Lytechinus pictus: one gene and its partners. The main gene of each other region encodes a partner of the protein of the gene in region 3 in a complex. Links are inferred from orthologs where the notes say so. Each region holds a gene or a part of one and is shown on either strand. Other genes may lie near its edges.

Region 1 (7,937 bases), on a different chromosome or scaffold from region 3:
GAGAAAGTCTGTAAAACCAAGGTAAAGTATTGATATATCATTGTGGATCTAGATCAGGTACAGTTACATACACTGAACTTTGTGAAATCATAATATCTAGCTAAAAAACGATCACACTGAAGATCGCCAACACAGATAGGCACACGTGGGACAGTGTATTATTATTGCTGGAATAAAGACCCGACAGAAGTGACCGAATCTGCGCTTATTTTGCTTATTTCTCAGCAATTACACAATTTCTTCCAGAATCCTTTGGCACATATTTTTTATTCATACAAACAGACACTTTGGTGATCATTATATTAAATTCTGTAAAAAGTCATTTTGAGATCGTTCCCACAACTGGAATTTATCTTTAATTTTAGCATGAAAATTTAATCTTAGTATTACCATTATCACCATCATTTGATTAGTCAGAAAACACATGTAAGTAGAGAGAAAAGGATACATCATCTTCAAGTCAGCCACACGAAATATCCTAAGTTTATTTGCATTGAATTCATATTCATTTTCATCAATCAAATTAGTTATAAGAGTGAGTTTTACTCAAATTGTCACAGTCTAGCAAGTAAGCAATGCTACAACTTAACATTTTCCAGTTATGTATTTTTGTTGGAATGTATTTTTTGTCAGTTGTCTCAGTCTGTTTACACGTGTACATGCTCTTAGAAATGCCATGCGACCTTTTTTATATTGATTTATGTTTTCTCACTCAACTAGTAATATCATAGCTAGTTTTATTTTCTTCCTCATTTTCTATTTTAGTACAATGGTCGTGAAAATTGTATTCAATACATGAAATGTAATGTAAATTTACTGTTGTGTATTCATTCTCCACTCTGTATATCTTGTTTGTAAATGAATCTCAAATTTGATAGTGATATGTATATAGTGGTATAAACCTTGGTTGAAATAATGAATTTTAACACTACAGTGGCAGATTTCAATGTATAGAATTTATTATAAAAGAATTTTTCATTAATTGCAAGCTTGAAACACCTTGATATTGAAAATATATAATTATATCAGTCTGTAAAGAAGTAATAGCATGTGATCTTTTTTCTTCTTTTTTTTTACTATCTGATAGCAGGTCATTTTTCTGATTTATTTCATTACCTCTATATGCATTTAGATGTTTTTGCACTATTTTTCAAATTGACAATTTCTAAATCATCTACTTTGAGATCATATTTGTAAAAAAAAAAGTCCTGTATTTAATTTGATACATCTTTTGTGAATTTGTGGATGCAGACAACCGGCCAACTTACCCTATTTCTCAGAAAAAGAATTGGTGAATGAGCAAGGACAAGTCATGAAATCTAATGTTTTAGGAGGAATAAATGACCAGTATAGAGTGTGATCAGATTGGTATGAAAATGCGTCCTGTTGTATGAATTGATAAAATTCTCGATTAAAATCATTTCTGTAGAAATGATCAATAGAATGATTTGATGAATATCACATGGAATACATGCTTGTCTTCTTTGTCTTGCTTCTGTTGTAACGGTGTGTTGTATTCCCTTGAGGGTAGGGAGGGGGAGAAAGGGGAACAAATAGAGAGATCGAGGATATCAGGAAAGGCGAGAAAGGGTCAGGGAAGAGAGAGGAAGGAAGGGAGAAGAAAAAATATTAGGGTTGCCAACTCTCGCTCATTTAGAGTGAGAGTCACTCGTTTTCGTCCATTCTCTCTCTAAAATTGTGTTCCATTTCCGTCCATTTCTACTGATCTTACTCATTTTGACACTTAAGTTATATACTTTGCCTACGGGAGTCTAGCTCACTCTCAACTAATTTTCAAATTTTATGGCACCGCTGAAATATAGTGGGAGAGTAAAATAGAGAGAGATAACAAATAGATGGGAAGGAATAAAAAGAGAGGATACGATCTAGAATTAGAGTCATAGTTAATATTTTTTAATGAAATATGTTGTGCATTCACAAGTGTGCCCCCCCCCCCCACCCTGTAAGAATCAACAGCAATTATTTTAATGGGGATATAAATGTCATTCATTCGTACACAAGTGCGGACCTTTTTTTAATTTTTGCCTGTCAAATTTTCCTTGGGGAAAATGCCCTACTCGATCCTCTTGGAAGATCCTAAATCCACCCCTGTGTTACTCAAGTGTTCCCAGAAGTTATTTATTTTTCTTTTTTTTAATGGGTGGACAGTAGCGTATGCAGGATTTTTGAAAAGGGGGGGGGTTCAAGCTGAATGAAATGCTGATAACCCGCCCCCCCCCCCCCCCCGAAGGGGAGTCTTCACCACAAGTCGTTTCCTACCCCCTCCAAAAAATTGACAAGCAAGGTTTGAATTCTAAGGGATGGGTAGATGGGTATAAAAAAAATTGAAGGGGGGGGTTGAACACCTGTAACTCACCCCACCCATCCCCCCCCCCCCCCCCCCCCCCCCCCTGTGGGTAGATCATTTTGCCTAGCTACCACACGAGGGGAAAAAAGGAGGGAGCACGTCTGATTTTGAAGAGGTCGAGCGCCATCTACGTCCCAGCCTGCCTGATCATATCATCATTGTTAATGTAGCAACAATTTTCACAAGTCAATAGTCATAAAAAGACTTGAAGAGGGAACTTATCGCTTTTCCGTGTCCAAACTTTGACTGTGTAACCTGTAAGTAACTATCATGTTGTAAATTTATTTAAATTATAGGGTGAGTGTTAAACTACAATGTGTGCCATTTATTTCATTAAATTTGAGAGTATTACACTGTTGAAAAAATATTAAGCCCAACCGCAGGACTCGACTTCTTCAATCAGAGCTGAGCCGCAGCACAGCGGGCCTGCTTAGCGGTAACTGCTGCCAGAGCCCCGCTATTCAGGCAGGCCCAGTCGCCAGAGACGGCACTGAGGCTGAGCTGCGTTGCGGAGCTCGAGTCGAGATTCGATCCACTCAAGGGTTCATGACATGCCGCTTAGCCAGGAGGCTTCTCGAGAGTAAAATTCATTTACTAATGTATGCTTACTCTCTACGAAGCCAGGGATTCCATTCATCTGCATGCATGTATTGTAGATCTAGGTTTTTTACCGCCAAAAAACCTGAATTCCTGAAACTTTCGCCCCCGAGATTTCTAGTTTTTCTACTCTTAGTCTTAATCATTCCACTCACGCTAGCGCTATGGACGGTATATGAGTAGTGCGAGGTTAGTAATAGATCTATACTAACTTTCATTTTAACGCGTGCGTCAGTAACGTTGGGGAAGAACAATAGGAAACAAGATGGCGGCGTAAACATCGGGCAAGTCTCCTCCGTCTTTTCATATTTCATAAATCGATAGCGTAGAAATGTCGGAAATGAAGTTGTATCCCATTTCATGATTAGGTCTAACAAAGTTAGATCTTTTTATAGAATGAAACTATAAATCTCGGGGGCGAAAGTTTTTTGGCGGCATGCAGATGAATAGGATGGAATCCCTGGCTTCGTAGAGAGTAAGCATACGTTTGTAAATAATTTTTACTCTCTAGAACTAGTAGAAGCCTCCTGGCTAATGCCGCTGGGCACGGGAAAATCTAGGCATGCCGCATGCAACTTCCATGGCATGCGATTGCATGAAATTATGAAATCTAAAATCATCAAATTGTTCCATTTCACTTACTGATCGACGAAAGTCCCTTTGGTGACCTCTCTTAGCACCCTGTTCCTCATATTTTCTTGCTCTTGACGTAACTGCCTGTCCAACGGCAACAACATCAATTTTTGGCCTAAAGAGGGCGCACGATTTATATTCATATCAAAGACACGACATGGGAAAGACCACTCACACATATTGCGAGGTTAGTATTAGTATACTACTGGGGAAAGACTAGGCACCGGTGCCTAGTCTTAAAGGACAAGTCCACCCCAACAAAAACTTGATTTGAATAAAAAGAAAAAAATCCAACAAGCATAACACTGAAAATTTCATCAAAATCGGATGTAAAATAAGAAAGTTATGACATTTTAAAGTTTCGCTTCATTTCACAAAACAGTTATATGCACATCTCGGTCCGTATGCAAATGAGGGAACTGATGACATAACTCACTCACTATTTCTTTTGTATTTTATTATATGAAATATGAAATATTTTGATTTTCTCATCATTGTCATGTGAAATGAAGTTTCATTCCTCCCTGAACACGTTGAATTCCATTATTTTAACATTTTGTGCTTCAGGCAAGGAGGTCCTAATCATCAAATTCGTAAAAATTGAAATATTGTATAATTCAAACAATAAAAAACAAAAGAAATAGTGAGTGAGTGACATCACCGACTCTCTCATTTGGATGTAACTGGCTCGTTCATATAACTATTTTGTTAAAAATAAGCGAAACTTTAAAATGTCATAACTTTCTTATTTTACATCCGATTTTGATGAAATTTTCAGCATTGTGCTTGTCTGATTTTTCTCTATTGATTCAAATCAACATTTTTCTGAGGTGGACTTGACCTTTAAGGTGTGCACCTTAACTATTTTACACGCAAATCGACGCAAAGCATTACGCGAAGTCCTTGAAGTGTCTAATCTTTTCATTGTATAGGTCTAGACTTTGGGAGACCGTATTATTGACAAACGAACAAAGCTTGTACAGCTGGTTTCGATTAAAGGTACATAGATTTTTTTCTATTTTTAAATTAGTCGTTCTAGATTATTTGCTAAAAAGTGTAATCTTTTAAAATATTTTCTTGATATTTCCCTTGCAGGTCTTCCAAGCATATCTTCTTCTCGATGACACCTGCTTCAGAGATCAGATTTTGATCTGAAGGAAGTTCTATCATCAGATAAACCTGAGCTAGCAGCTTCACATGTTTTGACTTCTTGGTAATTTGCAGGGGGGTTTACTCTCCTGAATTTCTTGATAATCTGAAGACAGACGTCTTTACTCCTGTTATCAACTGTGGCTGTTCACCCCTCAAAAATCATATTTTCTATCTCTCTCTGAAGCAGTCGCTGTGTTCGCAACTGAACCGTTGTGGGGGTTTACTCTCCTCAATCTCTTTGCATTCTGAAGAAAATAAGACGACCACTAAGCCAAGATGTCTTACATGCTTAGCCATCTCCACAACGGCTGGCAGGTCGACCAGGCCATCCTAGGTGAGGAGGATCGCGTCGTCGTCATCCGCTTCGGTCACGACTGGGACCCGACGTGTATGAAGATGGACGAGACGTTGTACCGGATCTGCGACAAGGTGAAAAACTTTGCTGTGGTGTACCTTGTTGACATCACAAAAGTGCCTGATTTTAACAAGATGTACGAGTTGTACGACCCGTGCACGATGATGTTCTTCTTCAGGAACAAGCATATAATGATAGATCTGGGTACCGGTAACAATAATAAGATCAACTGGGCTATAGACGATGAACAGGAGGTTATTGATATTGTGGAGACAGTGTACAGGGGCGCGAGGAAAGGACGTGGTTTGGTGGTGTCACCCAAAGACTACTCTACCAAATACCGTTATTAATGTCCTCTACCGCATCTCTGTTGCCAACAGTTTGGATTTGTGGATGGCAGCGATTGAGGACACGTTGGTTTGGAAATGAATACTGGCAAGTGCCATGCCTTTACGAAACATCATTCCTCAAACATTTTCTTATTTTTTCAGCTACACCAGAACTGCAAAGCTTTGGTAAATTTGTTGATTTATGTTGTATAGTAGGGTTGCGGGCTATCACATATTGAATCAAATGTACAGTTTACAGTATCGCAACGATCACCTGGGGAGTAGTTCATCAACATTTTCGTCCGACAAGTTGTCGGATCCGACAACTTTCCTTGGTTATGATCGTAAGAGAGGCACTGTTAACATAGTAACTGTCGGATAAATCAGTACTTGTCTGATAAAACGTCTTACAAGTCCTTTCGAATGATGAAACGCTCCCCAGGTTTTATCTCAAGATACACTGCAGTACATTCTCCATATTTGACCTTCAATAAGTCAAGTAAGCCTATTAAACTCCAGAAATTTCAAACCAGGGTGGTGTTTCATAAAGTTACGCACAACTTTACGCACGACTGAAACATGTTCCTTGGTGCTTAATCAGTTACATGTGGATAGTGTAGCACAAGAAAGGTCACCAGTTGTGCGTAAAGTCATTCGTAACTAACAAACAGCTTTATGAAATGGGCTCCTGAATATGAAAAATATGTCTCTCCTGTGTTAAGTGCAACAGATTTCTGTGTTACCAAGACACTTGACTTGGGTAGTGTCACCTGTGTATCGTTCAGCTTTAATTATGTGTCGGACATTGTTTGCATTTATGTACATGTAGTATGTTTAAGTTTATGGCACTCCTGGGCCTGCTGTAGTACAAAGGTTAGCGATTAATCGCTAACTTGAAAGATTGGTTCCTAGTCAGTCTACCGAGCAAAATTGCGCATGCAACGATGGTCTTGATTGGTAATTTCATGTACATGTAGCTATTAATCGCTAACTTGTGTTACAGGGGCCCGTTTCATAAAGCTGTTCATAAGACTTTACACACGACTGGTGACCCCTTCTTGCGCTAAATGAACGGATTTTATAGCGCCTAAGAACGTGTTCCAGTCATGCATAAAGTTGTGCATAACTTTACGAACAGCTTTATAAAACGGCCCAGATATCATCAGGTACATGTAATATTGGATGGGGAAGTATTATAGTTTATTAGAGGCTTGACACTTTTATGTAGTTCCCCTTGGACCCTGGTGATCTTTATTTTCTACATGAGGGAGATTTGTTCATTTTGTTGTTAAAATCATATCAAGTTTCAAAACTTACAATATTTTTCTGAAGAGTTATTGTTAACCAGATTGTTCATTCACTGAAGTCAACATTGTCACAATTTTATGACACCATGCCACCTTTAATCCAAGCCACCGATTGGATGTCGTGAAAGACATTATGAAAATATGAGAGAGGACATATTTTTGATAAGCCAAAGGGGGAGGGGGTGTAAAGCTCTTTAATAGTTATGGACAACGTCAACTTTATAAAGTTCTGGAACATATTTTTGTGCTACATGTACATGTACCCAAACATTTTCTTTGTGTTCAACAAAGTGGGACTGACTTTCCAATTACTGAATACATGTCAGTATTAAAAGGCCATTATTTGACACAAGTGCAACCCCCTCCCCCCCCCTCCCAGTATTTCAGATACCCGGAGAATAGCAGTTAATATTACAACTTTTTTTTTTCTTTGATTTTATTTGGTCATGATTAATTGATTCAGAAGTCACAACTGTGTAAATGTACATTGAACTTGTTAACATGAATGTTCTTTATATACATTGTAGTAAATATGGAAACAGAAAACCAAAAAAAAAATGACTGAATGTTCATGTGTAATCTGAGTTGGTCATACATGTAGGTAATTTATAATGTGATTGTGGCTTTAATCTTGAAGAGAGATGAATACATATGGAGAAAAGAAAGTGCAAGAAAGACAGCAAGAGAGAAAAATCAGTATAAAAAAGAAAGGGGGGAGGTTGGCTGATAGAAAAAAGAAAGAAGAAAAGTGAACAGTAAGGAACAGATCATGAGAACAGAATGGTGAATGTTAAAAGCTTGCTGGAAATGTTTCATAAAGACTTGTTATAATAACAAATGCATGCTTTCTATAACAAGTTTACTCTCGGCCAATGAAATTGAATGATAATCATAGAATCAGCTCATTTTAATCGCTTTTAACTTAGTCACAGGGCCCAGGAAAGAAGGTAAAAAAAGATGGAAAGCTACCAGATGAGGAGGGATCTGGGGCCCATCTCACAAAGAGTCGTAATTAATCTGATAAATCTCAAATATGGAAATCCATCAATGTCATAATTCTTCAAGCAGAGCAGCACACATATTTGTGAGGCAGCGGCTCGCCTCTATAACAGATTGTCAAGGTTTTTGGATTCCTGGCTTTCCATATCAATCACAACTCTTTGAAAGATGGAGCCCATGAAAGATGGAGAAAATGG
Region 2 (7,471 bases), about 7.1 Mb from region 3:
AGGCCTTGGCCTTGGGTTGCCATGTCATGGCCTTGGTTGGGGATTGAAGCCTTGGCCTTGGGTATTATATTAAAGCATTGGCCTTGGCTTGGAGGTTTGAGCCAACGAACGTAGAGGGCAGCAACACACAAGCGTGTTGCTATAAGGAAGGTCAACTCGATACGCGCATGCAGCTGAGCTGCGCGCGTATTTTATTGTTCATGCCAACGAAATCAAATGCCGATCCAATACAACAACAAATTAGTAGCGATCAAAAAACGAATATGAAAGAATATGACTACAACAATATCAAAGATAACTTAAAAAATATGTTGAGGAATATACATACATATAAAAACATACTTTGATATTTAAAACTTTACAAATATAAGTTTCAAGAAACTAAAATCATTACCAAATCGGTGATTGTTGTTATCAGCGATTTCACCAGACGGCTGTATTAGGTGATTTGCGTCGAGACGATTTTGTGACCACTCGCAAAGCATTTCGGGATTGAATATAACCACCTTATTTTCTCTGAGCTCTTCGCTGAACCCATCATCACAGTGCAGCTGCAGCGCAGCGCGCAGCCAATACAATGCATCCGATGCATGGGTTGTTTTTTCGCCGTCCATGCCATGGTCTCGGACTCAGAGTTGAAATTTAGACCCGGATTTCGGGGATACAGCGCCTTTATTTCAGATTTATAGACTTAAAAGTCAAATGACATTTAAAATTTGAAATCTAACCTTGAACAATCATCGTTGATAAACATCAGCCCTGAAGCCATTACACTTCAAATCAGGCCAGGCAAATTAGATGTCATTGTCTAAGTTGCTAGATCTATGACGAGTCGCCTGAAGCCCCAGCGCATCATCAACGTCACTAGCTAGCTGCGCGACCGGCCCAGACTCGGCGCACCCAGGCCAGAAAAATGACCTCGATTATTACGGTGGTTGTCTATGCATTTATTAGTGGTGCAGCGAAATTCAGCAGAAGAAAATAAGAGATATGAGGTATCCTCGTCACAGGCTTAATATTCCAAAATGAGGAAAAATGTCAAAATCATGATTATTTAAGCTAAATATTTTCTTTAAAAATGAAAGTAATATTTTTAATATTTATACCCAGAATAACCGATCTAATAATTGTTCATTAAAAAATATTTGAAATTAACAAATGAAAAAAAATCAACTCGACAAATTTCCCAAAACACCACCTTATTTTTTAAAGTGGTCACAAAATTCGAGCGGAGTTGACCTTCCTTAGAGCAACACGCTTGTGTGTTGCTGCCCTCTACGTTCGTTGGTTTGAGCCTTGGCCCTTGGCTTGACTACAAGACACTGTCACTGGCCTATTCCATCCCGTCCCAGGCTCCATGGAGAGTAAGCCTACGTCAGTAAATGACTTTTACTCTCTAGGAGCTTCCAGGCTACCCAAAACATTGAGTCTACCCTCTTGCTACTAGTAGTCGCCGACGTATTATAGCTATGCCAGCTAGTATGGTTACCTTCCGGGCCCCGGCGGCGGCCGGCCCACTTGGCTTAATTCGCAGTCCGGAGCTCTCTGGGTTACAGACACGTTATATTGAGCTACCGTACCGTATGGGCACTAGTATTCAACCCGGCATAATTCAAAGATTTTTACAAATTCCCCCAAATATTTAGAAATAGGGAATTTATCTTAATTTCATACCTCTGTTATTTCCAGGGTAATCTGTTGTCGGTATTTTCTTTATCGATCTGTCGACTGTATGCGCGGAGGATCGAATTATGCGGCAATGACCTTTTGCACTGAATTGCACTAGTATTCAACCTAGTGATGATAGACAGCAAATTTAAAAATGGTTTAGACTGCAATACTAGATCTAGATCTATGTAAGTCTCTGGCTTTGACTAATTCCCTGTTCGGTCTCATCTCAAATGGTCTAGTCCTTAGTTGGATGGGACAAGGACAGATTGAGAGACAGGGCCATCTTTCGTTGCTAGGTTGAATACTAGTGCCAAAAACCATTGCCGTATAATTCGATCGCCCGCACACACAGTCGACTGGTTGAAAAAAAAAAAAAATAACGCAAAAAGAATAACCAGCATTTGGTCTTGGAAATAACACAGGTCTGAAATTAAGGTAGAATCCATATTTCTATATATTTGAGGAAACTCTCCAAACGGGTTGAATACTAGTGCCCTTACGATACCTTACTGAGCTGACTGAGCTGGCTGAGCAGAGCCTGAGGCCGAGCACTCATTCAATGAACAAGGTTATGATATAACCTTGTTCTCAGTTATATCTCCATGTGTGGCAAAATAAGGGTGGCAATGTTTGGCTTATTTTCTCTTTTTCTTTGGGACAAATGCTTGATTTTTTTACACTGACAGTTTCCATTACACTTATTCATCATACAACTTGGCCCTTAAGTAAATTTGATTCTTTACATTATTTTTTTCTTAATTAAAGATAAAAATAATTAGAGATAAAAAAAATATAATTTTCTTGCCATATTACTTTCCACCAATAGAGGGCGTACACAAAAATATGCCCAGAATTCAAGGTTTTGAGCGCCCTAGTGAATACAAAAATTATTCCCAAGTTACTAATGAAAAATAAATTGCAACTGTTTAGAAATTAGTAATTTTGGTCACAAAAGTGATATTTTAATGATTTTTTGAAGTGTGTGCTCTGTACATCATTGGCATGCCATAGACCTACGGTACCTGTACTGTAGATTCCCCACAGGCAGGGATGGTTGCAGTGAACAAGTGAGGCCGAGTAACTTTTTATTCTTCCTTTTTCTTCCTCCTCCAGACTATGTCCTCTTAACAGTCCTATGCCATAAAACTAAGGATTACCATAAAAATTGTCATTGATACTACATATTAGAAATCAGATTAATCATTATTAAAACTTACTGCCATGGATGTTGCTTGGGATCTTTCACCACGACTCTTATTTGTTAGCACCAAGTACAAAGATTCATGTTATAATTTATGCGAATTGCACCGTATATACCGTATACCGTACTGTACAATACCGATACCGTACTACCAACGAACGTAGAGGGCAGCAACCACTGATCTGCTGATCTCCAGAGTTATCAATAGACAGAGTGGCGACACGCGCACTGAAAACAGGATACGCGCGGTCAAAGGTCAGCCATGGGGGGCTGATTAGTTCCCTCTGCGCGCACATGCAATTATTTGGCAATCATCGCTATTATCATAATTGATTGTCGACAAACTAGCCTAGGTCCGGAAGAAATGATAATGAATCTAATGTAATTTCTTCTCTTTGGTTTAGAGCTTCATGATAGATCCCCCATTTTGGTTTGTCTGGCATTATCATTAATATTATTCTAGATGAATTCCACTTTTTTATTGAAAATTAATGTGATGAATTATAGAGACTTGATTTACTCACCGATGAATGAAAAATGGAAATAAAGAGGAAAATAGGCAAATAAGGAATATGGGAACACGAAAAATTAACAAGGTGATGCTGAAGACATAATGGACTGGAAAACTCGGGGGAAGGGGGCAGCAGGGTGACCAGATTTCACAAAATGAAATACGGGACAATCGACAAAATAATCAACATAGAAGGCTACACATGTACAGTGTTATACACTTGTGAAAAAAATATAAAGAATGGGAAGGAAGGGTGAACGAAAGAAATAAGGAGAGAAAGAAAATGCGAAAGAAGGAAAAGATATTAATTGAGAATAAAGAAAAAAAATAAAGGGGAAAATGAAGGAAAAAATAAAAAAAGTTAGAATAAAAGGATGAAAAAGAATAAAAGAGAGAAAAAAGGTTTCCGTCATTCTTTGAAATGAATATAGAAAGAAAGAAAAAGAAAGGGAGGGAAGATGAACAAAAATTAATGTGTGAAAGACGAAATAAAGGAGAGAAAGAAAAAAAAAAGTAAGAAAATTAAAGGAGCGGAAAGATAAATGTTTCCTTCATTCTTTGAAAGAAACAATAAAAGAAGAAAAACAGGAAGGGATCGGGAAGCTAGGGAAGGAAGGAAGAAGGATGAAAGGGAAAGAAAGAATAAGGGAAAGGAATAAGAAGGAAAAAAAAATAAAGAATGAAAGAATTGGGGAGAAAAGAGAGGGAAGAAAGAATGAAGGGATGAAAGAATAAAAAAAGAGAAAATAATGGAAGGAGAAAAAGAACGAAAAGAAAAAAGGAGAGAAATGGAGAAGGAAGCAAAGAACAGTTTAAAGAAAGAAAGAAGGAAATAATAACAAGGAAATTTGATAAAGAATGCAAATAAGAGAAAAAAGCAACGAAAGAAAAATGAACACACAGCGAGAGAAAGGATCATGAAAGAAAGATAAGAAATAAAGATAGATGGAACAAAAAAGTGTCAGCAGCGCGAAGGATAGAATAATGAAGAAAGAAGGATATAAAAGAAAGAAAAGGGAAAAATTCAAACTTCCAGCAAACAAAAACAACCATCTGACAAAAATAATAATTATATATGGTGTGTTTTTAATATAATTTTAAAAACTTTATAAAAAAAGAACTTGCAAAAGTTTAGTAATCGATTATCTATTGGTTATTTGATGAACATTCGTCACTTTTAAATGTATTAACTACATTTTGTTCAATATACTGAAATACGGGAAAAATAGACGTCCCGGGAGGGGTGGGCCGGACAAAGGAGCAAAATATGGGACCATCCCGGGAAATACGGGACGTCTGGTCACCCGGCCTGGGGGCAGTTTTCTTCTTCTGAATCACTGCATTGAAATTTTGTAATCACACCACCGGTATTGTACGTGGAAAATAATCAATTAAGGAGCAAAAAAAGTACAGTGATCACAAAATATAAAGGAAAAGCATATATTTTGACTTTTCAAATGATATGTTTTATTAAAAGTTAAAGCATAATTTAATATAGTCCCCTGACAAAATGGGCTATTGATCTGTGGTGATTTAGGGGGACGGGCCCAGGTGACAACTCCTAGCTTACACTATTTTCACTGCACTGACTGTCAATCAATAATGGAAATAGGAACATTGTACTCGGATCGAATTTCATGATCTCGAATAATTTCAACAATCCGAATATTTTTATGCAAAAATTTAACCAACCTTACCCTTTTTTATGTCACATTAAAATTAACCATTCATCTTGATGTTTTGTATAACGAAAAGGGGAATGTTAATGGTAAGTTATTTATTTTTTTATTGTTGTTTTCATTACTATTACTATTAATATGACGATCAATATTGTCACTATTAATTATTATCATTGAAATCAATATTTTTTGTTATGATCATTGTCATCGTTATAATTACCATCATCATCAGGGCGGCGAATATCCTGCTTTCTTTCTCTCTCTTCTTTTTTAAAGTATACATCCAAAGAATCAAAAGTATTTTATAATGACTTTATGTGGTCATCATTGTAAAGGGGAAGTATTACTAATCAGATATATAACTTCACTTTTCAAAATAGTGATCAGAGATTGCAGAAATCAGCTCTCAAAAATGATTTATTTTCATGCCATATTTCTGCCTTCCACCGGTCCTCTTGCGAGCTCCAGCTGAGTGACGTCACACAATGAGCAGTGAGCAGCTGAGCTGACAGCAGCCCATTGGAGACGATCTTTCCAATCAGCGTTTTTTGCTCTTAGAATTGTTTATTCCTCTTAAGATTGGTCTTGTTATATAGATAAAAGTTTGAATTTACTGAACAGTGGAAAAAAGTGCACATTTAACGTATTTTGGTGACCGATATTTAGCTTAGAATTTTTTTTTTTTTTCAAGAAATATAGGTGAATAAACAAAGCATATTTTCACGTAGAAATCACACTTGCGTCACATTAATATTATAGTCAATATAAAGCATAGACATTCTTCTTTATGACTGAACAAAAATTATGAAATTTCATTAAGTAGCAAAGTCAGGAATCACAAAAAAAACACGGCAATATCCATCGCGAAATGACTGAAATTGCAGTTGAATTGCCGAAGCATTATTAGGAAACAGCGGCGAGCGGACTTTCTTTCATATATCTTAAAAATGCCTTTCTGTTAGGGCGATGGTCTGTGGCCAAATGCGTTGGCCATTGTTTTGTCATGTGCGAGGACCCTGGTTCGAAACTCGGATTTTTTTTTCTGGGTATTTTTTTTTTATTCCTTCCCCGTCCCTACCCATCTTTTTTTTCTCTTTTTATTTTCTTGTGAAATTCTATTCAGACCTGTATTTATCAAATCTTGCTTCTTAATTGCTGCTTTTGATTTTCAAGTTCTTGATTAGATTATTTCTACTCTTATTTGGGATGGGAGGGGTAGAGTTAAAAGTCAAGTCCACATCAACTAAAAATTATTTGAATAGAGTGATTTCCCTTGTTGTTTTTACTCAAAACAGTCATATACACAAAACAATGATATGCAAATTAGAGTTGTCACTCACATCACATTCGTTTCTATTTTTTGTGGCATTTTGTTTTTTATTCTTTGCAGATTTGACGATAGGAAACTCTTCATCTGATCACAATAGGTTATATTTACGGAACTGTTAAAATAGTAATTATATAAATTTGAATCAAAGTTTTTATGAAATTTCCTGCAATATCTTGTTATTTTTCTTTAAATTCAAATGAATTTTTGATTGCGTGGACTTCTCCTTTACTCTTAATGTAGGGAATGCATAGCAAAATTTATCCAGAAACAAAATTGTCTTAGAATATGCAAATCAGTAATTGGACACATGTTCACTTTTCTTTCATCCAGGCCACTTCCTCACATCCACCAGGCTTTCAGTCTGATGATGAACCATCACACAACATTCACAGTGCTTCACAATAAATATTTCACTTCTGTTCATACATGCAATAAATATTGTGGAAAACAAATAAAAGGCGTACCCATATTCAAATACCGTTTAAAAGGACAAATATATTATACCTTTCGAGAAAAATCAGCACGTTAAATATCTGATAACAAAACATAATTATGGGGCACTGCAAGAAACTTATGTTAAATTGCAAATCAAGCGTAAGTCTTAAATTCAAATTCAAGCGTAATAAGGTCGAGTTGCAATCGCAATTCAACTACATGTTTAATCAAAGGACTTTCCCTTGATTTGGGACGTGTGATTGAGTATAACATTTCTCGCAAAATGCCCTAGTAACATTAAAATTGTTCTTTCGTTTTAAATTGTGTGTTATTATTTTTGACAAGCTGTATTCCTGTCCGAGTAAAATTTCTTAGTTCTCTCCAAAACTGTGCTCAAAATTGTTTCCAAGATTGATAAAGCAATTTTTTCTTTTGTATCATTATCATTCCACAACTTGCAAACCGTAGGTCCTGGAAAGAGTGAAGAAAAAAATGGCTATATCCAAATCATAGTAAAAGGACATGATGGAATCTCCCAGATTGAGGTAGCAAGCAGAGACCAGAAGTCACCAGAGTTAGCAATTGTGCAGATCTGTGTGTAGAAGAGAGAAAAAAAGAAATAGTTTAAATAATCAAATCAAAGT
Region 3 (7,242 bases):
TGGCTCTGATGTTAGCCTTCACATTGGACAGTATAAATGGGACAAGAAAAGTAATATAATTTTATTTTAAGAATGCACAAAAAACTTCTATTCACATTCACTATTTCACAGTCTAAAACATTTTCATCCTTTAAAACATGCAAGAGTCTATTTGAATGATAATGAAAGGTATAGAGACAGTGAATTTCCATTTTAAAAAATGGTATTTTCCATGTCTGAAAATCTGTAATTCCGTTTCAACTTGATCTAAAAATGGAAATTCAGTTTTGTCACTGAAAATGTATACAGCAAAAACCTAAATTCCATGAATTTTTACATAAAAAGTGTAAGAACAAAATGGAATTTCCTTTTTATTTACCAGTATAATGGAAAATGACTGTCCCTACAGGTATCCAAACTCTAAAGTAATAAATTATTTATCCTTTGTTGAAAGTGGAAAAATACAAAAATCATTTTACTCTTCTTCTGATTATGAGTAATAAAGTCATCATTGCTCTTAACATGATTTTTTTTCCTCCAGAAGAAAATCAGAATAATCAAGCATACATGTAGCTTACATTGTGTTCCCCCCTTTTCAATTACTTTTCTTATTAAACTTTATTCAATTGAATAGACTGAAATATATATAACATATCTTCACATATCTTTAAAACTCTCTGCACGATGTTTCATTTCATTTGACAAGCCTACCACATACATGTACATAAAATAAAAACAACATTACCCTTCTCATCAAGTTGTACATTCTATGTATCAAAGATAAAACGTAAATTGTGGAAGCTTTACCTTAATTGTTGGTCTGTGTTGCGGTAGTATGATAACACGTCCTGATTTATCAATTGTTCTACCTTGATCATCAAGAATCAATGGTGCTGGTCTAAGCACACAAAAAAAGAAAAAAGAATAATTAATATGAATAACCAGAATCTCTTTGAGAGGATCAGAAAATGTTTTATCACTTTGAGCTTATTATCATTCAAGGGGGAGAGGGCATGGCCCTGGGAAGCAGGGTTACTGAAGCACCCCCAACATTTTCCTTGGGGGTGCTGTGTGTATTATTCTCCACAGGCAGCACCCTAAGGTATTCTGAGAGATGTGTAAAAATTGAAAAATGTAACCAAAATTAACTTAATTTTTTGTGACTTCCATTTTGTAGAGAAACTTTTTTTTTTTTACTTTTCAAACTTACATCAGCACCTCCACTTACAAAATCGTTCCCAGGGCCCTGGGAGGAGGGGTAAACAAAGGATTGTTTGAGATATGATTTATTTTTAATCTAAAACAGAAAAATACAGAATCATTCAATATGAGAGAAAGCTATTGATAATTATTGTTTGCTCACTTAGTGAGAACAGCTGGTGGTGGTTTAGTCTGACTGGTATCTTCTTTAGGAGCTGGTACTTTAGGTATTGCAGGTGCTTGTGGTATTCCAGGCATAGGTGGTAGTTTCAAACCACCTAACCCAGCACTCATCATAGTTGCCTGTATGCGTGCTTGTATCTCAGCAGCTTTCTTGGCTTTCTCCAGAGCATCATTTCTCAGAGCCTCGGGCTGACTCTTTGAAAACTGTGTCAGGTAAAATACATTCATTTAATTAGTTCCAAGTACTTTCCTTACTTTAGTAATATAGCAGGACTTAAGTCTAATAATCCCAGGTTATTTTGAGTCCTTATTATGCCCCCTAAGATCTTGGTCTCAAATCATGTGACCATGACAAAAAAATTTGCACAATGGTAAAATATGATGTTATCTTATGTTGCATAGCTAAGCTGGATTTATTGCTAAAAATGTTACAAAATATGTCAAAAAAATTATAACATACACGTTTTAAATGAGGAGTGGTCCCATGGGACCAAAATTGTGTTTTGGGCGGCACTTTCTCAATTTTGTAACGATTTTTCATGAGGTATCATGCTCAGAAGAACAACCTTCTTAATTTAAGCTGATGCCCTTTAGCAAACTGAAACATCACTATTTTATAGCCTACTTCTACTGTAAAAATTCATCAGGGAAAATATTAATTTATTGAACTAATGAAGCAGGCAGATGATCTTTTTTTTAAAATTATTATTATAATCAAACACATAAACAACATATACAAACAATAGGATAAGGAGAGTCACATGGATGCCGGGAAAGGAAAAAGATTAACTAAATAACTATAACCCGAAGGTCTTCCAATCCATGTGACTTTACAAAGATAACATACATGTAATACAAAATAGTAAAATACAACTATACAGTTGTTGAAGATGACAACAAATTATATTAAATTATATTAAATTAGATTAGATTAGAATCAAATAAAGAATAAAAAAGAAGTAGGTTTGCATGGTGGAGTTTATAATGTGGAGAAGGCTTACGGTTCACAATGTTTAATATGAAGAAGGGAGAGGAAATACAGGCAGAAAATTTAAATGGAAAGACGAGAAAGGATGAAAAGAGGAAATTAGAGGTAATCTTTTCTTGAAAGTGAGTAAAGTCCTGAAAAAGGACTGTAAACTAGATGAGATGAGCTGAATATGGCTTGAGTATTGATGGTTTGAGTAGTAGCAGGTTGAAGTGAAGACTCCTGAAGATGGACAGTCAACCTGCCCGAAACGTCGAGTAACCTCTCTTCACTTCAACCTGCTACTACTCAAACCATCGCTACTCAAGCCATATTCAGCTCATCTAATCTGGTTTACAGTCATATTCAGGACTTCATTTGAATAGAATGTTAAAAAATCCCCCAGTAACATACATGTAAAATATGGTAATCACGTAACAAAAATTATAAGGTAAATTTAAGGAATGTATTGTTTCCCACAGCTTATTGTTACCTTGACTCCATTCTCGTCTTCACCGGGAAAGTGAGAGAATTTAGAACGCTTCTTGTGTCCCTCATATCCATCATCATCTTTACTGGTTCTCTTTGAAGCTTTACTTCCACCTTGAAAACCTGCTACATCTGCAAATAGGGTCTCCACAAACCTCTCAGCCGAGTCTTCCAGCAAGGGCTTTAACATATCTTAATAAAAAAAGAAAGGAGATTTTTTTTTCTAATCAGACACGTAATGACCAAAAATTTTACATCTGCAATAGGTTACAGAGATAAAATAGTGAAAAATTTTAAAAGGCATTTCAGAAACATGTAAACTTGTAAAGGCATCCATTACAGTCTCCCTCATCAAATCCTCTGAATTGTGTATAAAATGAATGGTTCAGCAGATATGGGGCTTCAATGTTTTTCAATTTAAAAAATATGAGAGACTTCAGTTTCAGATTTTCAGAAGAAATTAATTTATTTTGTTTGAGCTCTAGACTTCATCTTTGACAAATTTTTTGCCACACTTACATGTACTCTTGAGCTGTTGAGATCATAAGGAATGTCAGATTAGCCATAAAAGCCGCTTGATGATGAAAGACAACATTGCAACAAAAAATGTAAAAAAAGCATTCCCAGATTGTCAGGGAAAATCAAGTTGTGTTTCACATAGATCTTGAAACTCGAATGATGAAAAATAGGAAGACATTTCACAAATATTTTATATAGACTCTAGACTAGAGCTCATAATGTATTAAAAAAATATTAAATGGACGACATTGCTGGGTGCTTCATTGCATGAGGACTAGTATATGCATCACTCAAGGGTTCATTGCATTACATGCCGCCGCGCACAGAAAAATCAAGCCATAGAAGTCGTGTGTTGTGCACGCCAGAAGTGACGTCGCAGCATGCACGACCCACTAACTTTAGAAATCCACTGCCAAACGTGGTTCTTTGTGCAAGGTTAGAATAGTAACTAACCTTGCACTAGTGCGAGTGGATATGCATAGACTCTACAGTAGTACAACTGTTTTGTGATCTTGAAGTGAAACTTCAAGTGAAATCTAAAATCATCACAACGTTCTTATTCTACATTCGGTTTTGATGAAATATTCAGGGTTTTTACTTTTGTAGACATTAGATTTGTCTCTTTTCATTCGAATCCATGTTCTGCTGGATGGGGTTGAATCGTCCATTCAAACGGAAGTTGTTGATCTAACTTTTAGATCTACACATATCCACACAAAGCAATACTGCCAATATACTCTTGAACCCCCCACCCCCAGGCCAGGAGGCTCCTGGAGATTGAAGTCATACCAATGACGTGCTTAATCTCCATGAAGCCAGGGACGGGATGCCATTGCACTACACGCACCAAGTATTTTGCCACCAATAATGCTAAAATATTCCTCACGCTAGACCAGTTGAAGTGGGATCTAGGACTGAGGTAAGATTTATGATATTTATCGGCCGATGCAAGTATTTTACTCGGTGCGTGTAAGTGCAATGGTATCCTAGACCAAAAGCTTCAGTCTCTGTTTTATTGAATGTTCTGCTGAACTTTGTTGGCTCCACTCACCAATTACAGAGACTGAAGTTCTAACTTTATCTGTACAGGGACTCAATGGCCATATGTTTATGTATAAAGTTCGGATAAACCAGGGAAGTGGGAGTTGCGCGACAGCCGAAGTAGGTCACTGTTTTTTTCCTGTTAGGTTTATTTTTTCCATTTTGGTGCATTTAAGGCCAAAATGGAATATTAATCTTTATTTTGGTCCAGTTCTTTTTATATATTTTTATGAAATAAAGACAAAAATCGAAAACCCCCGTTTTATTTTTTTTGGTATTGTTGACCCCCTAATGGCGGCTGCACGATCGCGAGACTTTAAAAAAATCTGAGCTAGAAGGTCACACTTGTCACCTGTGTCTGTGATATGTTACAAAAATGAAGCCCAGAAAAAAAATGCTTCAAAAATTGAAATATAAAGTGACCGAAAACACCATCTTAATTTCATCCCATACACTTATGTGTACTATTTAGGCGTCTATAAGACGCCTATTTACAAAATCGGGGTTTGCCTTGTAGTTCTAGCTTTTCATTCTCAATAATGGTTGTTTTCAGGGTTTATTAGTTCTAATACATGCACTTGTACACATGTATCATCTTGGTTTGAGAATTTTTTAAATCGGCTGCTCACAAAGTTAAACAATACCTTTAAGCACGCCAGTGGTTAGACAGGAATAACCGTCGTTTCTGGGGATTTATTTAACAATTTCTGACATTTTACTATCATCCCCATTCACCGACGGTAGTACGTTAGTGCGAGCCCTCATGTGTAATCCAGAGCTTCCGAGTCTCCCGGATCCTGCGGAAGAATACTGGATTGCCATCCAATCTCCCATTCTCCCGACCCCATGCCAAAATCTCCGGGATAATCAGGATTTTTAGCTGTTAAATTGTAAAATTCATACAAACGACTGTTTTACGAGTCTAGCATTTTCAACTCCCTTACACCCACGTGGATCCTCCTTATCACATTTTCATTTTACCCAGTAAATTTTACCAGTTTTTGTATACTCGTACATTGACTTCCAATGTAAATGAAGATAACTTTACTGAACGACTGGTGAATTAGTCTAACTTGCCATTTTTTTTCTGGTTCTGCAATGTGTGTGATGGAAACACTTCAGCGGCACTCCATGCACATGCCCCCCGATGCGACCCTGCCTGGTCTCCAGCCGGCCGCGCCGCGCCAGGAGGCTATGAGAAGGGAAGTCCACGAGCACTGCGAGGCATTTTTCATACGCTTGTGTGCGCTTTATTCGAGCTGAAACTGTGGATCAACGATGGGATTTACAAGTGGATTACTATTATAACTACACCCCGACTTTCACTTTATTGACAATCCTGAAGAACAGAAGCAAAGTTGAGAATTTTTCGCCTACTTTCACTTGGGTTGATCGGATTCGAACATTTTCTCTTTCGTGAGTGAGCTGGCCTGGCGCTGGCTGGCTGTGCGAAGCACGCCCGTCCCGATTCATCCACACTACAATCGCATCGTCAGTGACCATGGAGATGGAGTCATCCAAGACCAAGAATACAAAATACTTTTCGAAGTATAAAGATAATTTTCAAGTGGAATGGGACTGTGTGACAAGATCAAAGAGAGGAGAGTATCATGCTTTTTGCTCAGTTTGCTTGGTCGATGTATCTATAAAGTTTTGAGGAAGAAATGACATGCCTTCGACACATTTCTTCTGATAAGCACAAGGAGATGGTTAAAGTGAGGTCATCGAGTCAGGGCATCCAGAGCTTTTTCAGGTAGGCTAATTTTCTTGTCGATTTTAGAACTGATTACGAGCATTTATCCCATGTACAAGGTTATGATAACCTTGTCCTCAGAAACCACTGTGTGGTGAAATTACATGAATAAGATTGTCAATGTTTTGCTTTTTTTTCTCTTGATCTGGAATGAATAAATACTTTATTTTTTGGCCCAAAACTCAATTGAATTCTTGAAATTAATTTTTTCTAATTAAAAAAGAGACTAGAAAGTCAAAAGGGGCCTAAGCTTTCGATCATAGCAGAATCTTCGTCGAAGGCAAAATGAGCATCATTTTGCCTCTGACGAAGATTCTGCTAGGATCGAAAGCTTAGGCCCCTTTTGACTTTCTAATTTACTCCATTGGCTCTCTTTTATTAGATAAGCAGTTTTCAGCAGCTTCTTTTTGCCATTAAAAAAGAGACTGTGGAGATGGAGATCTGCATCAATTTCAGTTTTTCACCAAAAGAGGTCGTCACAAAAATATACTCAAAATTTAAGTTTTTGAGCGCTCTGGTGAATAAAAAAATGGTTCCTACACTGTAAGTCTATAATGAAAAAATCATAACTGAATGGAACTGGGTGTTGTTTTTTACAAAAGTGATATTTTAAAGACTTTTTTTTGTGTGTTTGTATGTTGCATAGACTCACCAAAGACAGGGTGGTTGCAGAGTGCAAGTGGTCTGAAGAAAGGTTGGAAAACAAGTATGAGGCACTAAAATAATTTTTAAGCCTCTACTTTCCGTTAACGGCAAATCCGACAACTGATCTTATTTCCTCCTTCCAGTTGTTTTGATTGTTAGACAGTGCACACTGTATTACTTATCCAAGGCTCGACATTAGCAGTGGCCCGGGGCCACCAGAAATTCACCTCGGGCAACCATCATTAAAAAAATGTTAAGTTTTGGTGGCCTGAATCGGGCAACCAATAATTTTCAAAGGAGCGCAATTTTTCTCCCGATTTTGCACGCATTTATCAACTTTCTACAGTTCAAATTGCAAGCCAATTCGTCATGCGCCCTTTTTGTTAATCTACACAAATACACACACACAAAGATTGCATAGTCATGACTGTATGTAGGCCTACCGCTATAGCATACAGTAACTATT
Region 4 (8,011 bases), on a different chromosome or scaffold from region 3:
GTTATCCGTCTTATTTTAAAGGGGTTTTGTGAATTAAATAGTTTATTAGTTATGCATCTGTGTTTGTTACTTCAGATGATTTTTATGTCATTTTGTTATATTTTGTATAATTACTTGTACTTGTATACTTGATTGTAGTATGTAGTTGTAAACATAAAATGTGTTCGGTTCTAATCTTATAGTGAAACGATTTAGTAAAATGATCTTTAGAGTGAAAGATTTTGGTTAAATTGATTTTGGTTATTGAATTGTTAATTCAATGTTTCAGTTTTGTGTCTTCAGAGTAAAGGGTCACAATGATTGCTTACTATGTGTAATAATTGTTACTTTCCTTTTAAAGGTATTTGACATGACATTCGTGTAGCGGGTGAGGCTCTCACCAGAGGAAATATGGTCCTCTAGGCCAGATTGTCAGGGTGAGTGGTTATCATTCATTAACCACTGTATTTCAATGTTAATTTGTTGGCATATTCTAATTATTGTTTGGTAAATTTCACTTGATGGATGTATTTCATTTATTTGTTGGAAGAGTTATCCATAACGATGGAGGAACTGAATTTGTGATTAGATGAGTTGGATTCAGGCAATATTGATTAAGTTTAATGAATGGATATAGAAAACATGTTTATCATTTATTATTACGAGTCCACTTGACGTCATATTGATGAATGTTTATCTTAGAGTCACAAGCAAATATGTGTATATTTCTATTCTGTGCATTTTTTTAAACATATAATTCTATTTAATGGTTTTGTTCTTATTGGTTTTTACAGGTTTTTTCTATCTTTTGTTCTTGTACTTTGAATTTTGTATGTAACGATTCATCGATATTAAACGAACCGAAACACAAGGAATGGTGTCGTGTGTCATCTTTCTACATCAGTTTCCGCGTGTTACACTAAAATGTAGATTAATTTTTCTAAACTACATTGTTTTTTTAATCTAAAGAGATAACTAAGGTTTTAAAACAGTAAAAATACAGATAAAATATGGGTTTTCTTACCTTGGAAGTATTTTCCACAAACAAGGCAGGCATACACATTCAAATGAGACAAGGAGACTGAACAGAGCTTCTCAAAATCAAAATCCAACAAGCTCCTGTATGACAGAAATAACAAATTCAACACTGTGAAAATAAAAAGCACACATTAGGACTCACCCTGTAAAACATATTTTTACATTTACTATGTTAGATTGCAAGTCCTTGTTTATTACCTTTCATTTTTATAAATACTTTATATAGCTCTACCAGGGACTACATATATACAACACAGTTTCATTTTACACTTCATTCTTCATTCACTTTCTGTTATTCTTCCTTGAAGAAAAAAAAATCACATGTTTTAACAGTAAAGTAGGATATCGCAGACAAGGTCAAGTCAACTTTTTTCACCTTGCCATAATAATCAACACTTTGATTGTGGGCATCAACGGAAAGACAATTGTCTCGATTCATGATTGTGACTAAATGTTGTTAGATAAAATAGGAATTTGGCATTTAGTGAAATGAGTCCAAGTTAGTGTATCAATTCACTCTTTTGTCACAAAGGTGAAATAAATCATTTTCTTTCTATATCAATAGCATGACACAGTTACATGTACATGTAATGTAGCAAGTGATGCTGCCCCATCTCTATCTGAATATAAATTCATTATATATACACAATGTCAATGGGAAGACTATCCAAAGGATAACAGAGCTATGCAGGCCATATCTTTGACTTTTCTTAAACCAAAGTTTTGTCACTCCAGCCGTGTTTCCTTTTGTAGTTCACACCTGTTTATGGTGTCCAGATAGGGGCAACTTCTGCTCTTGTCTTCTCTTTGTTGCTTTGGAATCTTAGACGGAACTGTTGAATGAAATAAAGAAAAAGTATATTTCATCACAAGTTGGTCACATGCATGTAAAAAATGTAAGAACGTTGTCAAAATCTATCTCAAACTCAAAGTTAGATTCTCATGAAAATCTTTTTCTTGCTCTATTTGCTCACTGTGGACTTACAAGTTACATTACATAACTTTTATTTTCCACCAGGGCATGTGCTGTGTCCCCTCTTAATATATACCCCTGTTATGCCCCTGCACAGACTCGTCTACAGATTTCAATATTTATAAGCATCATTGTAAAATTATGACAAAAAAATAATAAAGGCCAATAAGCCTAGACTAGAGTAGAGACTCGCGAGCGTCAGGTGACAACTCGCCTTGGATTTGCATGTACATGACCCTATTGCGACAACAGCCGTCGCGAGAGTTGGCCAGAAGAGGGGATGAAATCACCAAATTTTTCAAAAAAAGAAATGGCGAGTAGGCCTACCGATTTTATATCAATTATCAATATCATAATTCATAATCGTAGATTAATATAATAATAATTAATAATATGACAGACAGTCAAAGAAGAAGTAAGACCGAAATTTAGAGGACTTGGCTGGCATTTAACGACCAAACTCACACCCGTTTGACTCACTTTCTCAACACGAAATTAAATAGGCAAATTGCCTAGACTCTAGAGTGGTGCGAAACTGCATTAGCGCCCAATTCAATTGCAATGTGAACAGCTGCACTAGCCAACTTGAAAAATAATGGAGTGGGACCAAAGTGAATCTAAACGTTAAATTAATAATGGCTTTCCGAGGATATGAATGATACTATTGGTGAATTTTTTTTTAAATTAAATATAAAAAATAAAGATGATAAACTCAAAGAATAGATACCGTAATCATCATCACTATCGTCATCATAGCTTGCATCGACGAGGGGTCTTTTCGCATTCTGCGTGGAAGTCGCCATCTTTTCTTTGACAAGTACAAAAGCGCCATCGCCGTTCGCGTTTGTACAGATTATGTTATTTTGTATACTCAGTGTGAAAATTCCAAATAATATATCTAGTATTATTATACATCTGGGGTGGTATTCTGAAAACGTTCTTATCTTTGTTCTTATCTTTGTTCTTATCTCAATGAGATAAGAAGACGCTAAAATCATTGCAAATCGGTATTCACCAACGAACGTAGAGGGCAGCAACACACAAGCGTGTTGCTATAAGGAAGGTCAACTCGATACGCGCATGCAGCTGAGCTGCGCGCGTATTTTATTGTTCATGCCTACGAAATCAAATGCCGATCCAATACAACAACAAATTAGTAGCGATCAAAAAACGAATATGAAAGAATATGACTACAACGTATCAAAGATAACTTAAAAAATATGTTGAGGAATATACATACATATAAAAACATACTTTGATATTTAAAACTTTACAAATATAAGTTTCAAGAAACTAAAATCATTACCAAATCGGTGATTGTTGTTATCAGCGATTTCACCAGACGGCTGTATTAGGTGATTTGCGTCGAGACGATTTTGTGACCACTCGCAAAGCATTTCGGGATTGAATATAACCACCTTATTTTCTCTGAGCTCTTCGCTGAACCCATCATCACAGTGCAGCTGCAGCGCAGCGCGCAGCCAATGCAATGCATCCGATGCATGGGTTGTTTTTTCGCCGTCCATGCCATGGTCTCGGACTCAGAGTTGAAATTTAGACCCGGATTTCGGGGATACAGCGCCTTTATTTCAGATTTATAGACTTAAAAGTCAAATGACATTTAAAATTTGAAATCTAACCTTGAACAATCATCGTTGATAAACATCAGCCCTGAAGCCATTACACTTCAAATCAGGCCAGGCAAATTAGATGTCATTGTCTAAGTTGCTAGATCTATGACGAGTCGCCTGAAGCCCCAGCGCATCATCAACGTCACTAGCTAGCTGCGCGACCGGCCCAGACTGGGCGCACCCAGGCCAGAAAAATGACCTCGATTATTACGGTGGTTGTCTATGCATTTATTAGTGGTGCAGCGAAATTCAGCAGAAGAAAATAAGAGATATGAGGTATCCTCGTCACAGGCTTAATATTCCAAAATGAGGAAAAATGTCAAAATCATGATTATTTAAGCTAAATATTTTCTTTAAAAATGTAAGTAATATTTTTAATATTTATACCCAGAATAACCAATCTAATAATTGTTCATTAAAAAATATTTGAAATTAACAAATGAAAAAAAATCAACTCGACAAATTTCCCAAAACCCCACCTTATTTTTTAAAGTGGTCACAAAATTCGAGCGGAGTTGACCTTCCTTAGAGCAACACGCTTGTGTGTTGCTGCCCTCTACGTTCGTTGGTATTATTCTGAAAATCTTCTTAACGCGTTCTTATCTCTGTAAGGACTGCCTCCTTCTTATCTTCAACACGCCCATTTTTAGGATATTACCAATCAAAATGCGTGTTATATTGTAAGTTTAACCAATAGAAGCGTTCCTTGTGTGAAGAGAATATCATGGGCGCTGCGCGTACACTGTTTGTGGCACATTGCGCGAAATAGGCATTTTATACGCAATGACTGATTATTATTTCGAGACACGTGCACAAAATAAAGAAACAAATTAAAGAAAAAAGGTAAATAAAGCAAATACGAATAAAAAATTAAAAAAAAAGAAGACAGTAAAGGGTCAGAATGAAGCACAAATAAAAAAATATGAAAGGAACAAAGCAGAAAACAATGAAAAAAAGAAAAGGTAAACAAAAGAAAGCAAGCAAAAAGAACTTTAAAAAAAAAGAAAAGAAAGAAAGAATAAAGAATGAATAAAAGAAAGAAAAAGGAGGAATGAATAGAACGATTATTAATGATAAAAAGAGGAATAAAAAATGAAAGAAAATAAAGAAGGAAAAAGAAAGAAACTTTACAAAAAAAAAACCAAAAGGGACAAAATAAAAAGATTACAAAGGATAAAATGAAAGAATACAATAACCTTAAGAGAAATAGAAAAAAAAAACGAATGAAAGAAAGTAATCAAAAGAAAAAGGAAGGAATTAAAAAACTGTAAAAAGTAAAGGAAGAGAGAAAAAAGGAAAATAGACCAGAAATAAAGAAAGAGAGAGAGAGAGAGACTCGGAGAGAAAGAAAGAAAAAAGGAAGAAAGAGAAAAGATGAAAGGATAATTAAAGATAAAATAAAGACTAAAGAAAGATTGAAGGAACGAACGGTAAAGCAATAAAGAAAAAGAACGAAAAAGGAAAATAAAAAGGCGGGAAAAATAAAGAATGAATGAAAAAAAAAGAAACGAATTAAGATTGATGGAAAGAATAAAGAAAAAAAAGAATAAAAAATAACAAGAAAAGATGATAAGAGAAGGAGAAACAAAGAAAAATAAGGAAAAAATAAAAAATTAAGGGAAGGAAGAAAAAAGGAACAAACAAAATGAATAAATAAAACAAATATAAAGACGAAAGAATGAATGAAAGAAAGAAAAAGAATGAAGAAATAAAAAAGATAATGAAAAAAAAATAAAGTGAAGGAAGGAAAAAAAGGGGGAAGAAAGAAAAGAAGAAAGAGGGGGGAAAATAAAGACTTAGTAAAGGAAAAAAGGAAAACAAAGAAAAATAAGGAAGAAAAGAAAAGATTCAAAAGAATAAAACAAGAGATATAAATAAACAATGAAAGAAAGGAAGAAAGAGAGACAAACAGAAATGAAGAAAATGAGAAAATAAATACAGAAAGAAATAAGAGATAGAAAAAGAGACGGGCAAAATAAAGGGTGAATTAAAGAAAGGGTGGAAAGAATACTTGTTACTACCAGTGGCCATCGATTTTGAGAAAGAAAGAACGCGGACATCCTGAGATGTGATAACCCTCTAGCTATCTTAAATATTATCATAAATATCGTAAAGAGATAAGAAAGATAAAAGATAAGAACGTTTTCAGAATACCACTTATCTTTATTTTGTTCTTATCTTTTAGCGCGCTTTTGTATCATATGCGCGAATTATAAATTTACGCGCTCAGCATCGATGGAAAGCAAGATAAGAAAAAGATAAGAACAAAAGATAAGAAAAAGATAAGAACGTTTTCAGAATACCAATTTGAGAACGTGACGTAGATAAGAACAAAATTAAGATAAGAACGTTTTCAGAATACCGCCCCAGTTTATCTATTCATTTGGTGTGTTGGCAGAGATAGAGTCCAAATATATTTTAATTACTATGACTACAATCAAGGATGACTCAAAATGATCGATCTCCAAGCATTTGCACTTGCTCAGAAAATGACATTTACATGTACGTATACTTTTCCTTGAAAAGTTTCACAAAGACCCAAATATTTTATGGAATTCATAATTATGCTCCAGAAACAGTTTTGCAATCGTTGGGCAACACCGGACCCAAATAGCAGATTCCGGACTCGGTACAAAATTTATATAGAAAATGACACCTTGGAAATATTTAATTGTAAATTTTCTTATTTATTGGGTCTTGTCAACTGAAACAATGTGGTTTACCTTGAAGTTACCTTGAAGTTACCTAGATGGCCACATCTCACTGTCTTCACGACGAGCCGTGTACAGATGAGTGTGGCATGGTTTTAAGGAGGCTAGCTCTTAGAGCCCATTTAAAAACCCAATTTTGATAATGGTGTCTTAAATTGCAGGAGTGTTGGTGCCTCAACTGTGGACTGTGGGATTTTATTCCATTGGTTGACAACCCTTTGGCTAAAGAAGTGTTTCCTTATATCCAGTCTAGATCGTCATTGCTTGGCAAATTTGAGAGAGTGTCCTTGTTCTGGCACACTCTACTCTCTGGAAATAATTGTCCGGGTTTGATTTGTCCATTTGTGTAATGATTCGGTATGTTTAATCGATCAATAAGATAAAAATCCCCCCCCAAAAAAAAAAAAAAAAAAAAAAATTGTTATCAAATCCACCTCTTTCGGGATATTTAGGCCTATTGTTATTTTAAGAATAAATTCTGGATTTTGATAGGCCCCTATCTCTCGAAATGATAGCCAGGAGAATTTTATATATATATATATATATATATATATATATATATATATATATAGAATATTGCTTGTGAATGGCTAGAAGATCTTGTTGATGTTGATGTACATGATACAATTATTACTAAACTACTGTGTACATCCTACGGATACAGGTGTATAACGAAGGCCAAAGATCGGCTCGAGGGCATGCATGCGTTAAACAAATGATTATCTAAACTTCAATTACATAGCGTGAATAAAATAACGTTCTACTATCGGTACATTTATTGCTTGCTTGCTTGGTTTTTTGATCGATCAATATTGATAGATTGGTTTGTCGAATGGTTACTAATAAATATTCAATTTGGAATTAAAGAGGAATTGATAAAAAGTTACTGTTGAGAATATTTGTGGCCCAGTGGATAAGTCTTCTGACTTTGAAACAGAGGGTCGTGGGTTCGAATCCCAGCCATGGCGTAATTACCTTCAGCAAGAAATTTATCCACATTGTGCTGCACTCGACCCAGGTGCATTTTCATTAAAGTATAGGCCTTACCTATTATGAAATATAATTTGCGGCAATTAGAGGGGGGATGCAAAAGATTATCTTTTTTAAGTGAAAAGAAGAGAAGTGTAATCAAACTTATCCCTTTTTGCATTTTAATTGATCAAACAACAACATGATTTGTTCAGGAATTTCTTTTTCTATCATTTTGAAAAAAATATGTTTATTTTCATGACTCGTTTTGTTTTCTTCCGAGAAATTCACGTGAATCTATGTTGGGGGAACAACGGACACACGCCCCTTCTCTGTCATGTCTGTGGCAACGTTGTATCTGTTTTTCTTTTGTTATTATTATTGAATATGGTTTCCCTTCTTTATTTAGCGATATTTTTTAAGTGATCCTACTCGTGATTGTTATATTTTTTCTATTCCCCCCCTTTTATTATTTTAACCCCTTGTTTTTCTTTGTAGAAACTAATAAAACCTTTTGTGTCTCCTTTTGATCGCCTCGGCAGCATTTCATGAAGTTGGATTTTCCCTGACAATTTTGCTATTAGCCAATCAAATGCAAGGATTTCAGTAGAAATAGTCATAGGATATACATGTCTCATGCAGGCGCGGATCCAAGATTTTGTGGGGAGGGGGGCCCAAATTTGACCTGATTTTTGGCGCCCATGTGTACT

What was found.
Region 1: U4/U6 small nuclear ribonucleoprotein Prp3-like (region 3) and thioredoxin-like protein 4A share a complex: the UniProt entries of both Homo sapiens proteins name them as parts of the precatalytic spliceosome. The link is inferred for Lytechinus pictus from reciprocal best matches to the Homo sapiens genes PRPF3 and TXNL4A.
Region 2: U4/U6 small nuclear ribonucleoprotein Prp3-like (region 3) and U6 snRNA-associated Sm-like protein LSm7 share a complex: the UniProt entries of both Homo sapiens proteins name them as parts of the precatalytic spliceosome. The link is inferred for Lytechinus pictus from reciprocal best matches to the Homo sapiens genes PRPF3 and LSM7.
Region 4: U4/U6 small nuclear ribonucleoprotein Prp3-like (region 3) and ubiquitin carboxyl-terminal hydrolase 39-like share a complex: the UniProt entries of both Homo sapiens proteins name them as parts of the U4/U6-U5 tri-snRNP complex. The link is inferred for Lytechinus pictus from reciprocal best matches to the Homo sapiens genes PRPF3 and USP39.

The regions. Positions count from the first base shown.
Region 1 is NC_087253.1:7,931,386-7,939,322, reverse strand, and holds thioredoxin-like protein 4A, read left to right. Parts: upstream 1-4,935; 5' UTR 4,936-5,026; coding exon 5,027-5,455; 3' UTR 5,456-7,465; downstream 7,466-7,937. UniProt on the Homo sapiens protein: Plays a role in pre-mRNA splicing as component of the U5 snRNP and U4/U6-U5 tri-snRNP complexes that are involved in spliceosome assembly, and as component of the precatalytic spliceosome (spliceosome B complex).
Region 2 is NC_087247.1:61,093,414-61,100,884, reverse strand, and holds the start of U6 snRNA-associated Sm-like protein LSm7, read right to left. Parts: upstream 3,009-7,471; 5' UTR 2,895-3,008; coding exon 2,889-2,894; intron 1-2,888. UniProt on the Homo sapiens protein: Plays a role in pre-mRNA splicing as component of the U4/U6-U5 tri-snRNP complex that is involved in spliceosome assembly, and as component of the precatalytic spliceosome (spliceosome B complex).
Region 3 is NC_087247.1:68,145,477-68,152,718, forward strand, and holds the start of U4/U6 small nuclear ribonucleoprotein Prp3-like, read right to left. Parts: upstream 3,014-7,242; 5' UTR 3,009-3,013; coding exon 2,823-3,008; intron 1,567-2,822; coding exon 1,343-1,566; intron 878-1,342; coding exon 787-877; intron 17-786; coding exon 1-16. UniProt on the Homo sapiens protein: Plays a role in pre-mRNA splicing as component of the U4/U6-U5 tri-snRNP complex that is involved in spliceosome assembly, and as component of the precatalytic spliceosome (spliceosome B complex).
Region 4 is NC_087262.1:12,999,787-13,007,797, forward strand, and holds the start of ubiquitin carboxyl-terminal hydrolase 39-like, read right to left. Parts: upstream 3,014-8,011; 5' UTR 2,989-3,013; coding exon 2,718-2,988; intron 1,851-2,717; coding exon 1,778-1,850; intron 1,099-1,777; coding exon 1,004-1,098; intron 1-1,003.